Linked DNA regions of Caenorhabditis elegans. The protein of the gene in region 1 purifies or fractionates together with the protein of each later gene. This does not show direct contact. Each region holds a gene or a part of one and is shown on either strand. Other genes may lie near its edges.

Region 1 (6,634 bases):
ATGTAAATGGTTTGAAATCCGACAAGACAGCTGCGAACTCGTATAACTGGTATGTGTGTTTGTGTGTGGGTTTGTGAGTGCTCTGCCCCGTTTTCGAAATATGCAAATATTTCTGGACTAGCAATAAGAGATATATAACCGAAACGCGCGAAACGGAGATGGCCTCTCTCTGTCCACTTGTTTCCAGTTATCAGTTTGTAGCCATCTACGCAATTTGTAACATCTCAATAGCCCAAATCTCATCATTCACCATGTACGGGATTCTAGATTCGGAAGGAATTGAGAAATTTATGTAAAAACAAAATGCTCAAATCCAAGCAGAAAAATGAAAGAAATATGGATTACAAAAACGTTTGGGAACAACAAGATGATGTACTTTTTGAATTATTTCTAAAAGTTCATCTTCAACATCAGCACCTGAATCATAACAACGTATGACGCTATAGAAATGACGTTATACTTACTAAGTTAATTGTTAATTTAAGTGTTTCAAACATAATTCTAGACTTACTAAACTCATCGCCAATAAAGCTCAAGAATGTATCGCAAGCCATGAACACCTTACAATTTCCCCTTTGGGAATGAAATCCCGCTAACGTCATCAAAAAAAAAGGAGTTGGGTCTCTTCTATTTCAAAAGTGTCGTCCTAGAAGTTCTATCTTACCTTTGAAGGTCCGCAAAGACACCAGAATTGCTGAAAAGCAAGGATTCCAAGGTTTGAGTATTCATCAGATAATAATATTAACGCTCACCAAGCAATACTAATAAGAGTGGCTGTTATGGACAAAAAAGAAGGATGATAGTGGCTATCAATTCCGAGGGTGGGTTGTTAGGCAACGAGCCCGAGTACGGCTAATTGAAGCAAAGTCAAAAGAGAATATACAACTGTTGAGTTTGAGGATAGACGGAAAATATTATGAGCGAAGAGATATTTAGCTTGTGATAGCTAGTATACAGCTATTGTCATAGATTCGTTAGAATGACTAAAACTTTAGCCAATAGTGCATTGAGAATGAGGAGGCTTTCAAACATAATAATGAGGTATGAATCACCTTAAAGATACACATTTTGGTATTCAGGAATATGGTATCAAAATGTTTTTAGAAAATAGACAGGTTTAGAAAAGATGCTTACAAGGTGTATTTTTGTGATTTAGGGGGCTCATTCCTAGTTAAGAAATAGTTGTATATCTATGTAGTTGTATATTATAATTTCCAGATTATTTAACCCATTGAATGATATGTTTAGTATGAAGTATGCTTGGAAATAATATTAACCTAAGCTCAAAAATTGAACAAATTTCTTTGTAATGGTTATTAATGAATAACCTAGATATGATGGCATATAATACACAAACACCTAATCCTACAGGGTGGTCCATAATTATGGACTTGTTTTTGAAATTGTGTACCAAACGTAATAAATTTGAATTAACTTCTAGTAGAACCTCTTCGACTTTTACTAAGACAAATTTAATTAAGGAGTTACGTCTGAACGGTATCAAACCCAAAAATAAATAAATTTTATTTTAACAACTTCCAGTATTCCGGAGCCTCAGATCAGTACAGCTCCCATACCAGATTCTCTTTATTTATTTATTAAGATTCTGCTCAATTTTCCAGCATCAAGTTTTTCAAGGCAGCCTAAAAAGCCATGTAAAACAACTTACGGTTGAATGTGAAGATTTAATACAGGATTATAAGGTTCATCATAGAAGTTCATCTGGCCAGCTCTTAGCGGAGCTGTCAAACTCATGCCACAGTTTTCGGATCAAGTGGGAGGCAACAACACCAGCTACACAACCGACTCTGCAAAAGATTAATCTCTTATATGTCACAAGCGGTTTGGGTCCGACGGCCTCCCGTCCAAGTACGCCTGATAGATGCAACAAGGAGAGGAATAACGGAGCGAGTGTGAGGATTGAGCCAGCTGACTGTGAATTATGGTTATGGAGATATGCCTGATTAGCCGGAAGGCACGGCGCGAAACTTTGAAAATCTCTACAGCAAAAAAATGGGGGGGCAGCTGGGGGAAGATTGTTCGCACCCCTTTCACGTTCAAGCCTGGTGTGGTGGCTCACCAAAAATATTACAGAAAATAGTTGTATGACACACAGAAAAGTCAAGTGAAGGATTTCATCAATCATCCTAGAAAGCATAGCATACCACGCCTTGGTCCTCTTTTGTGCATACTTCTTCACAATCTTCAACAATTGAGACGTGAGAGGTCAGACAGACAACACTGAAGAAGGCAACACAAAAAAAACGGAAGAAGCACAAAAAAATAAAGAGATGGGAGAGGATGAGAGGATAGCGAAGAAAATTGATGGAGATTCGTGTGTCCTATTGCAGATTACGGTATCTGGAATCAAGAATGTAGAGTGTTTGGCTATTTGTGACCATCTTCTTTTAGGAACAAGCCAGGAGCCAGCATTTGAAGTCGTGCAAGTGAAGTGTAATATTGCTCATAGTTATCAACTTGGCGAAGTTATCACAATTGCTTTGATAAAACATTTATATACACAGAATATTGTTCTCAAGTCGGTATTTTTCTTTTCACTAAAGCAACGATGTTTCAGATCTACCGTAGTTGCTAAGATGTTTCCAGGTGTGAGTGAGTGCGCAAAGTTCGTTTTCAGGGATGCTGGAATTATCAAAAATATTTATCATGGTGTTGAATTGAAGCTGAAATATTATTATATAAGTTGTGTTATATTGGGTTTTATTTTATTTGTAGTTTCGGAACGCGAGGTCTTGTAGCCACTTGAATGCATAAGGTTTTTCTGCAATTAAAGTAGGTATTCAGTTGTGTTGTTCCAACTTCAAAAAAAAGTTGCACTGTTGTAAACTGGACCCCATAATTATGAACCACCCCGTTTGTATAAAGAATATTGTTTATGCACGTGGTGCCAGGCTGTCCCATCACGGTTTGATCTACAAAAAATGCGGGAATTTTTCTCCCAAAAAAAAATGTGACGTCAGCACATTTTTAACCATGAGAAATCAGTTGAGAACTCTGCGTCTCTTCTCCCGCATTTTTTGTAGATCTACGCAGATCAAACCGAAATAAGACACTCTGACACCACGTGTTTGTACAGTTTTCCAGTATTTGCAGTTTGTAATACAAATATTAAATACAATAACATAGCTTTAGATTTGTTGCATTCATTTGAAATTTTTTCTGATAATGGTGGGGAAATTAATTCTTCCCTTTTAAAAATGCTTGACAGAAATATTTTAATACACAGCTTCAATCGGCAGACTAAACTTAAAGAGCAGGTTTACGACAGCGTTGTTTTTTTTTTCTCGTCCTTCTATTTTTCGACATCGGAACGTCTTGTACCATCCAGCACTTATTTCACAATGTCAACTCACTTTACATATCAACGCTCACGAAACAAAATTTTACGACTGAAACGCTGAAACGACTGAACTGTGTGCTTGTAAAATTTCCTTTCATTATTCTATAAAAGCGATGCTCGGGCACTGATAGTGATTGCCATCATCATTTGTGCAATACGAATGGCGGCGCATCAAATTTTACTCCTTTGTTTGTTACTACTATTAGCGCCGTTGCGGAATGGACAAACCACGCCGACCACGAGAGCCCAGGCCGATTTGGTTAATCAACTGCCAGGGACTATTTTTCAGGTAATAATACATTTTATATTTTTGTTTTTTGAAAATATGTATGCAGAATTATTTTATTCCAAATTTCTGTGTTTTTAGGTAAAATTTAAACAACTAAAAAAGTTCGCAGGTTGATTAAACACATTACCTTTTAGGTGAACTTCAAACAGTATGCGGGTTACCTCAACTCTGATCCCAACAAAAACTACAACAATCTTCACTATTGGTAAGTTCAAGATATTAATCTAAACATTTTATTATCTGGATACTGAACCTTGACTACCAAACAAAATAAAACAATTTCAGGTTAATCGAATCTCAACTGACCCCTTCCAATGATACGCTCCTTCTTTGGATTAATGGAGGTCCGGGATGTAGTTCAGTTTTCGGGCAGATCCAGGAAATCGGCCCATTCCATGTGTCTAGTGATAGTCAGACGGTGTATGAAAATGTGTTTGCTTGGAACAAGGTGTCCAATTTGCTTGCCATCGACGGTCCGGGCGCCGGCTTCTCATGGCAACAAAATCTCTTTCAAGACGACAGCTACGTAACTGGTGCTCTTCTTAACGCTCTCATGGATTTCTATACGGTGTATCCAAATATGCTAAACTCTGATCTCTACATTGCTGGTGAAGGATACGGATCTTTCTTTGCTTCGTCGTTGGTAGAATCTCTGATGGTGAATAACACTCCAAGACCGGACATTGTTACCTCTCCAGTTAATATTCGAGTGAGTTATCTACAAAAGTTGTTGCAACACTATCAGATACATTAAAACAAATTTTATGAGTTTCTATTTATTCTTATCATAGTTCAATTCTGAAGTTTGCTGGGAAATTTTAAAAATGAAATTTTTGAAAAATTCAGGGACTTCTTCTTGCAAATGGTGACTTGAGTGCTCGCCTCCAATACAACAGTCTCATCCCATTCTACTACACTCATGGATTTGCCGGATCAAAGTTGGACCTATTTTTCTATCATTTATCATTTTGAATTTATTTTCAGACAATATGACGATCTCAAATCAGTTTGTTGCACAAATGCTTCCACCCAAACTTGCGATTTTTTCAACAGTAACACAGCATGCAGAACCAAAGCTGACAACGCAATTGCCACTTGGTCAAATTATCAGTACGTGGTTTTTGATCGTTTTTAATTTGGAATGCACACTTGATTTTATCACTTGTGAAATTGGGAATGGAAAGTCATCAAAATGAGGGGAAAGTGCTATGGTCACAAAATATTAGAGAACAAAGACCAGATTGCAACAACGCAACAATTTAAAATTTTAGAGCCAATAAGATAGTACTTACAAGAAGGGGGTGTTCTGAAATCAATGTAAATTAAATTCATTTTAGCCTTTAGTTTGATATTATCGATTTACTTGATCACACAGCTACAACTAGAAATGAACTTTTGATTTTTAGAAATGAACTTTTGATACAATTGATTCTATAAATTTACTGACCATCTATTTGAACACATGTTCAAGCTTTTAGTCATTTCCATACTTGAACATTCTGTATCAATTTGGTTTCAGAATTGACAACACAAACATCAACGAAGACTGCTACAGAAACCAAGCTGCATGGCAAACATCCTTCAAACAACTTGGAATTAATGTATTGAACATAACGCTTAACGCTTGACATTAGGAAGTAACTTTCAGGCAGCTGTAGATAACTACAACTCAACGGACTCATTCAGAGGATATCCATGCTTTGCACTTTCAGCCACCGCCGCTTATTTAAACAGACAAGATGTTCAAGCTGCACTTCATGTTAGTGTGAATGCAAGTACAAACTTCCAGACTTGCAGGTGAGCAGTTTGCATACTATGTAGTACTTAACAATAATATGATCAGAAATCTGACATACGGAGAACTCTCAACGGATTTGCAAATCCGAATTTCCTCAATTCTAACATCCGAGAAGTATGCTCAAAATAACATGAAAATCATGATCTACAATGGAGATCTGGATCTCTGGAGCAACTTTATTGGTGCTCAAAGATTTGGACAAGAAATTGCGGCAGCTCTCAAGTTGAACACAACCGAGGATCGCATTTGGAGACATAACTATGATTCGGCAGCATTTGTGTGGATGGATGGTGGAGTTATTACTAGTTACTCGAGCAATTTTCATATCGCATCCATTAGAGTAAGTTTATAGTTTCAGCAAATTCGAGAATTACATAATACAACTTTCAAGAATATCTAGTTGAAATTTTCGAACTTTTGATAAATTGATACAAGATTCTTTATCGATATCATATCGTATACTTCTATGATACTTTTTCAATACCTTTAAAGTTTTTCAAAAATTTTCCTTATTGCGTCAGCGAATGCAATTTCCCATTATTACAGGGTGGCGGTCACTTCGCACCACAAAACCGTCCGTCACAATCGCTACAACTATATCGCGACTTCGTCTTAGGACTGTTTTTCAACAATTGCCTCAGCCGAGTTAACAAAGTCGCCGCGCCATTGCTGCCCGCTTATCAACAACTTGCCGCGCCAGCTACTCGTCGTGATGCTGATAAGGTGAGTGTAGCTTTTGGCAAAAAGAATCACACTTTGAATGTAGTGTGCTCATGATCTATTTTGGAATTTGGCCTATTGATCTCTAATTTCTTTTTTTTTCAGATTGTGAATCTACCAGGACTCACATACCAAATCAATTTCAATCAATACTCGGGATACTTGAACGCTTCAGACACCCACCGTTTCCACTATTGGTTCGTAGAATCTCAGAATGACCCCACCAACAGCCCAGTGCTGCTCTGGTTGAATGGTGGACCTGGAAGTTCTTCCCTATGGGGAATGCTCACAGAAAACGGACCATTCCGTCCGAATAAAGACGGGCAAACATTGTATGAGAATGTTCACTCCTGGAATAAAGTACGATAATTTAAAAAAAAAGGACAAAGCAGAGACATGATTTAATTTCAGTTTGCCAATGTTCTCTACCTCGAGAGTCCACACCAAGTAGGATACTCATACTCAA
Region 2 (6,634 bases), on another chromosome or scaffold:
AAATAATGAAATATGATAGTTTTGATCGATATTATAAACAATCACATCACCACTTTCACTTTCTCGCCCAAATTTATTGATAATCAATCATGATGATTTTTCAAAAAACTCTCAAAATTTATTTTTTCTTATTCTTTTTCCCCACCTTTTTGACATTTTCATTGGCAATTAACTGTTATGCTGGTAAGTTATGAGTTCCACGTTTTCCTTTTTCATGATATATGGTCTGTGATAAGAAGACACGAAACAAGAAGCACCCATACACCTTTTGATAAGATATTAATTGGCAGGTAGCAGAGGATACATCAACGGAAAACATATTCAAAACTTTTTCAATGAGACTTGTGATGATGGAATGAAGTACTGTGTGGAATCTTATAGTGAAGATTTTGATACGGTCACCGCGAGTTGTCAGACGTTGAGTACAAGCAGAAGAATCCTGAATTTGTGCGAGGTATTCAAAGGCCCTTAGATTTTAACTAAAACCATTGAAAATAGTTTAAAACTGTCAAAGCGACCGTAATGAAACCCACTGAAATAAGTTTTATCGCATTTTGCTAAACATAAGCTTTGGAATTTTCAAATTTGGATCCAAGTGAGATTAATTTATGAAGTGATCACCAACCTTGCGTGCGATTTTAAACAAAATTCAAGAAGTTTTAATATAAAAACGTGATTTTCTATAGTCATTTGACTAGTTTGATCAATTTTCCCACTGGCTTTGCAACGCCTTTACCTATTCTAATAATCCAAACTATTATTACAATTCTGAACCTTATTTTGCACCTAACGAAGTACGTTTTGTTTGCAGAGTCTGCATGAAAAGGTTCAGAGTAACAGGATTTTCTGATTTATGCACATTTTCTTTGTATCTTTGCAGAATTTTCATTTACTTATTTTTTTTAGCAAAATAGCAAAATTAAATTTACGAGCTACACTCTACTTTGTTAAAAAATTGTTTTAGGATATTTGAATAACAATCCTGGTGATATAAATTTTCCAGTAACATGTGAAAACACTTTTTCAAGCATATAATTTGTAATCTGATCAGAAAAAATATTTTCTAGACCACCGTGATATTCACGTGCACATACACCACGAAGAAAGCTTGTTTGTGTTCCATTGAATAATTATGAAATAATTCGCAAAACAATTATTGCGTGCAACCTTCTATTAGTGCATTTTGTTTGATTTAACGTGCCAGGTACTCGGGGCAGCCTTATCAAATCTATTTCCAGCAAAACTTTCATCATTTCCAGCTGACTTCATTAAAATTACCACTTCCGAAAGTTGTAAGAACTTTTGATAGGGTTTCAAAAGACTTATGTGACGCATTTTTCAATACTGGTAGATTAGGCAAAGTAGTAAAGGGGATTGGCTATTAGAGTCTTTGAGCACAGATCACAAGTAGGTTACGCACTGAGGCTACACGTGTCAAACTAGATTTAAACTCAATAAAAGGGGGTTCTTGAACAAAATTCAAATGAATTGATTTTGCTTCTACTTTTACAGTTTTTTAAATATTTGTTATCTTCTGAACAATCTCCATTTCTGATCTGTAAGATCAAAGGATTTATCTATTTTGCAAAAAAAAAATTACATATTCGCCGAACTTTGAGCTTGTATAATACAGAAAACAAAACTGTTTCCTTATGAATTTTTTGAACCATGTTAAATTAATTGACTAAAGTTCAGTAGAGAAATAAGATTATTTTTATTTTTCAGGGTGATCGAGTTTCCACAAACATCGGAGTGACAACGAGATGCTGTTCGGAAAACATGTGTAACGATGTTGGAATTGAGAAAAGGACCAAGAAAGATTCAAGTGCAGGGAAACAAAAAATTGAACATTAAATTCAATGAGCGTTTTTTAAGTTGAAAACAAAGTTCGAAAACCGTATTTCTTCTATTAGTATGGCTGTGACTAATTCTCAAAGGGGCAAACTTCAGGACTGCAATGGCAAATATCAATATTAATATCAAGATTTTCCTGTGTTTCCGATTACTACTTTTCATTTACTTACTGTTAAAATTTCAAGTAGAATCAAAAATTTCAAGATTCAAAAAAAAAGATGATAATTGCTACAAGAAATAACAATAATTCCAATTTTTATCATTCGTGAGGTGGTTTTCTGACAAAAAAAATGAAGGCAGAGAAAAATACATACAGATTGACTGAAAATCAAAAATTCCGGAATCCGGATCTTTGGCAATCCGTAAATCAAAATGCAATGTAATCAATAATGCATTTTTCAAATATCCAACTTTCGTTTTATTTCTCCAAAAAAATTTAATAATAAGAATTGAATACACATTCGATAGCGCCCCATTTAATTTATGATTGTACTTTATATTTTTGAGGACCCAAATAACCAATAAAAGTTTCAAAATGAATAAATTCATTGATAAGCTAATGGGCGAGTACAGGCTAATAAAAACTGCAGTTTCCGATAAGCGATGCATGCCATCGAGTTGCCGATTTTGACTTCAGTTCGGTCGTCAGAGACCAAACCAAAATGGCGCCTGCTACAAAGGCCATTGGATTGCTACTGGTTATTATAGGATTGGGTAATTTTTTTAATGTTTTTCAGTTTAAAAAATACCGTATTTTTCTTATTAACGTTGAATTTTCGTTTCCCCATTTGACAGCTCCTTGTTCAAATTTGGTTCTGATTTAAAAAAAAATTAAATTTATGTTGAATCGGTTCCAATGTAGAAAGTGAATTATAAAAATAAATAAATAAAGAGTTATAATAACTGTAATTTTTATCCAAGTATTCCAAACAAATTAATTTTTCATAGACAAAGTTTGTCTGAATTTCAAATTTCAAAACGCAGAAACTTATTTATTGGTTTTCAAAAAAATTTGATCACCATTTACAGCCGCTGGTGTTCAATATGAAATTCGTGGTAACATTGATCTCATCAACAGTTACGATATCCATCCGGACTATTACAATGAAAAATCATTCACGGAAAAGTTGAACAAAGTTTCGGAACGGGTGAGTGACGGTGCATTACACGAATTTATTTTTCAAAAAATTATTTTCAGTTTTCACAAGTTGTTGGACCAGATTTCAAAGAGTTTTTTGTTCATGATTACAAGTGAGTACTGGAAATATTTAAAGAAGATGTATTCTGAATGAGGGAATTGCTGAAAAGTTTAGTTGAAGAAATTTACAATTTCTTTTGATTCTATAGCATCTTTTGGAACTGGAACTTTTTTATTTTTAATTTCACCATTTCATATATCTTTATTCAAATACAAATATGAAAAATACAGAAAATTTCGAAGAAGTTGTTTTATTAATTAACTTGAAGTAGTTTATAAACTGAAACAAATTTAGTTTTTGCAATATTTTGTTCAAATATAACATTTTATTGAGAAAATTTAAAATATTAAAATAAATCTGATACATTGAAAATTTCTTTATTTACATTTTGGTCCATTTTTCACACATTTCTATACACACACAATAATAAGATAATGTTTCCACAGTTATAATTTAAAAACAAGCAACTCATTTCCCTCTACCGATCAAAAAATTTCAAAAAATCATTCATAAATCCAGAATTCACGGTCAAGACACCGCAGTCTTCCATGCTCGTCTAACACTTGTCTCATCTCTAACAGTTTCCCGACAAGACATCATTGACCAAATCGTGGCGACGGACGACGTGCAAATATATTTCTTGCGAAAAAATGGTATGGTTGAACTCTATCATTGTGCCCCGTTTGTTCATTAATCAAATTCCGCCTTTCATCAATGTTAATTTTATCTACACTTGGTGGTGGAAACTGTAAAATATGTATTCTTCAAAGCGCAAGGTCGTAAATTTTGTGTTGCGTCAGAATGTGCAGTACACTTATTATTAACACCTAACATCAATTTCAGAATTTGAAGTACAAGGGGACAGTGTTTCGAGATTCAGAGTAGTTCGTGCTGACGTGAGCAATTGCTTGCATGGAGGTATTTTATTGCCAAATGCTACCTGTTCTTGCTTACCATACTATTCTGGAGCTAACTGTGAAGTGGTGACGTATGTTTTTATATTTGAATGTTTTAAATATAAATTTTATTTTCAGTTGCCGCAACAATGGTATTGGATCAAGTGGAAGATGTTCATGTCCTCCTGGATTGTATTCTGCTCATTGTGAAGCAAGTATGCTTTCAAAATCAATTTAAAAAATCAATTTCTGAAAATCAAAGTTTTCAGGAACTTGTGTCACCAAGATTGACTCCGTCGTTGACTTCTCGTCTCAGTCACTCATTATTGCTATCAACACTAGAACATCGATGGCATACGATTTGAGCATGATCATTGAAAATATTCCAACATTGGTGACGGATTACCAAAGTCAAGGAGTCATTCTTTCGAGCTTCATCGTCACCGTCTACAGATATACAAGTTAGTTTTAAACATAGTTTTGGTTGAAAACTTCAAATCTCAGAATCCGTATACTTCATGGAAACGAGTGCCTTCACAACATCCGATGCTATGATTGATTACCTTCACAGTGTGACCATTGCTCCATCATCTGATGATCAACCTCTTCTTGACGCTATTGCTAACTCTCAATCCACGTGGGTTTTAGATATTTTCAATAACTGGAGATCTTCAATCAACTTAAATGATATAAAATAAATGTTTTCAGCCAGCCAACAATGAGACCAAAATCAACTGTTTATGTTTTTGCTGATTCTGAGAACTTATTGGATCCAACTCCCTCAACGCTTCTCAGTAGCACAAATGAAAGCATGGTCATCCAGCAGACTCTTGCCTGGAGAAATAAGGTCATTTAAAGCTACAAACTCGTATACTTTTTCCATTTCAGATTATCTTTGTTCTCTCCCAAACGACATCAAGCCCAATTGAGCCAACTGGAAACCACTTCGATGTGCTCCGCAGAGTCGCTACGGCTGCTCATGGAGACATTTTGATGATTGATAAAACGGAAATTGTCGAAGTGAGATCATTTCTTATAACTCTAGATCAAAGTTACTCAATTCTCAGGTTCTCACTCATCTTCTTTTCTACACAATTGGTGGACAGAATACATATGTGCAATACTACAATAATGTTGCCAAAAATATTCCAGTGCAGTCGGATACACCAACACAAACAACATATATTATGATGACAGTTGAGAATGGAGAATCACGTTAGTCAAAAAATGGAATCTGCAAAATTGATGTTTTTTTTTTCAGTTCCAAATATTCAAGACACCAATGGTAACACATTGAAGCCCACATCCTCTGGACGAAGATTTGCTGTGAGCCTGAGTTAAACTATCACCTATCACATAATAAAAATAGGTTTTCAGGTTTATCGTGTATTCCAAAGTTCAACCACATCAGTTACCATCACAGGAGACACAATTCCACTTCATAATACTCGTGTGTGGTTCACTTCAATGGACGATGTTCTTGTGTCATACTCTGAAGATGATACTGTTGATAACAATTATGCTCACACATTCAATGGATATTATCAACGGCCATCTCTATATTCTTCGTTTGCTACAACTACAAGTCTCTCAGTTTCAACCGCTAATTCTGTCACTTCCGGTGTGATTTCTGCTGCTGTTACAGCGACAGCAAAAGCAACATCATGCATCTTCCAGTACCAAATCGCAAATGCTACTTCGTGTACTCCAGGTCCATATGTTCATAATGTGGTTGTGTCTGCTTCCGATGGAAACAAGTACCGTGCAGTTCCAGGATATTGCTTCACGCCAGGTATGTAGTCTATTTCATTTTTCCGATCAAATACGACATTTTTAGATTCCCACATGGCCGCTCCGTGGTCATGTCTCAACAACGGAACCCGCTCCGGAATAAGCACTTGCTCATGCACAGCCAACTGGGGTGGACTTCACTGTGAAGTTCCAAAATGTGTGAATGGAGGATCACCTGACAAGTTCCCCAACGGTGGTGGTCATGGAAACTGCATTTGTCCATTTGGTGTTTCTGGAAGTTTCTGTGAAATTTGTAAGTTTTTCAGTCTTCTCTGAAATCAGATTCATACCTTCACTTTTTTAGTGACATGCAGCACCACATCCCCCGACACCTTCCAATCTTACAATCGGTCATTTGCTGTTGTTGTTCAAAACTCTTTATCTGCTAATCAAGCTCTTGTGCGGCTTAATGATGGTCTCCGTGCAATGCTCAATCAAGGACAGTCTAATGATTTTGAAGATTTTGTGCTTACGACATTCAAGGCTAGAACAGTCAACGGAGCATCATTCCCAGATGTATCGTCGTCCAAGTTCAGCTCAGCATCTGCTTTCCTTAACGCTACCAACGACATTGGAATCGGATATTCATATTCTCCAAGTGGACCTCAGCCAGGACTATTCGCCTTGGAAACTACAATGAGATCAATGGATTTTGATAAATCCTCAATTTTCTTCTTCACTGATTCTGCGTCTTCGGTGGTGGAAGCTTCGATGAACTTCTCCGATATTGTGTAAGTTAAGAGTATTAAAAAGTTGTTGTTTGTGAATTTTTATATGTATAAGAATGGTACCATATTTTTTTCCGTCAACCTAGATTTCGATTTTTATCAGTTAATATTATTTAGAATACTTTATCTTTCTTCAAATTGTTTGTAATGTCCGTATCTTCGATCA

The links.
Region 2: the proteins of Y16B4A.2 (region 1) and R09H10.5 fractionate together in Caenorhabditis elegans (co-fractionation; one large-scale study listed by BioGRID). This does not show direct contact.

Annotation. Positions count from the first base shown.
Region 1 is NC_003284.9:14,768,712-14,775,345, reverse strand, and holds the start of Y16B4A.2 (Carboxypeptidase), read left to right. Parts: upstream 1-3,494; 5' UTR 3,495-3,521; coding exon 3,522-3,650; intron 3,651-3,784; coding exon 3,785-3,855; intron 3,856-3,935; coding exon 3,936-4,359; intron 4,360-4,496; coding exon 4,497-4,588; intron 4,589-4,634; coding exon 4,635-4,760; intron 4,761-5,169; coding exon 5,170-5,251; intron 5,252-5,298; coding exon 5,299-5,447; intron 5,448-5,493; coding exon 5,494-5,788; intron 5,789-5,994; coding exon 5,995-6,171; intron 6,172-6,273; coding exon 6,274-6,528; intron 6,529-6,579; coding exon 6,580-6,634. Other genes in the region: Transcription factor unc-3, read right to left, coding at 1,670-1,755.
Region 2 is NC_003282.8:10,624,697-10,631,330, reverse strand, and holds the start of R09H10.5 (EGF-like domain-containing protein), read left to right. Parts: upstream 1-2,501; 5' UTR 2,502-2,516; coding exon 2,517-2,568; intron 2,569-2,883; coding exon 2,884-3,002; intron 3,003-3,052; coding exon 3,053-3,105; intron 3,106-3,572; coding exon 3,573-3,706; intron 3,707-3,896; coding exon 3,897-4,041; intron 4,042-4,087; coding exon 4,088-4,164; intron 4,165-4,218; coding exon 4,219-4,410; intron 4,411-4,453; coding exon 4,454-4,586; intron 4,587-4,657; coding exon 4,658-4,796; intron 4,797-4,837; coding exon 4,838-4,969; intron 4,970-5,016; coding exon 5,017-5,164; intron 5,165-5,210; coding exon 5,211-5,275; intron 5,276-5,326; coding exon 5,327-5,741; intron 5,742-5,786; coding exon 5,787-5,993; intron 5,994-6,044; coding exon 6,045-6,471; intron 6,472-6,634. Other genes in the region: F56C4.4 (Activin_recp domain-containing protein), read left to right, coding at 90-183, 291-454, 1,726-1,854.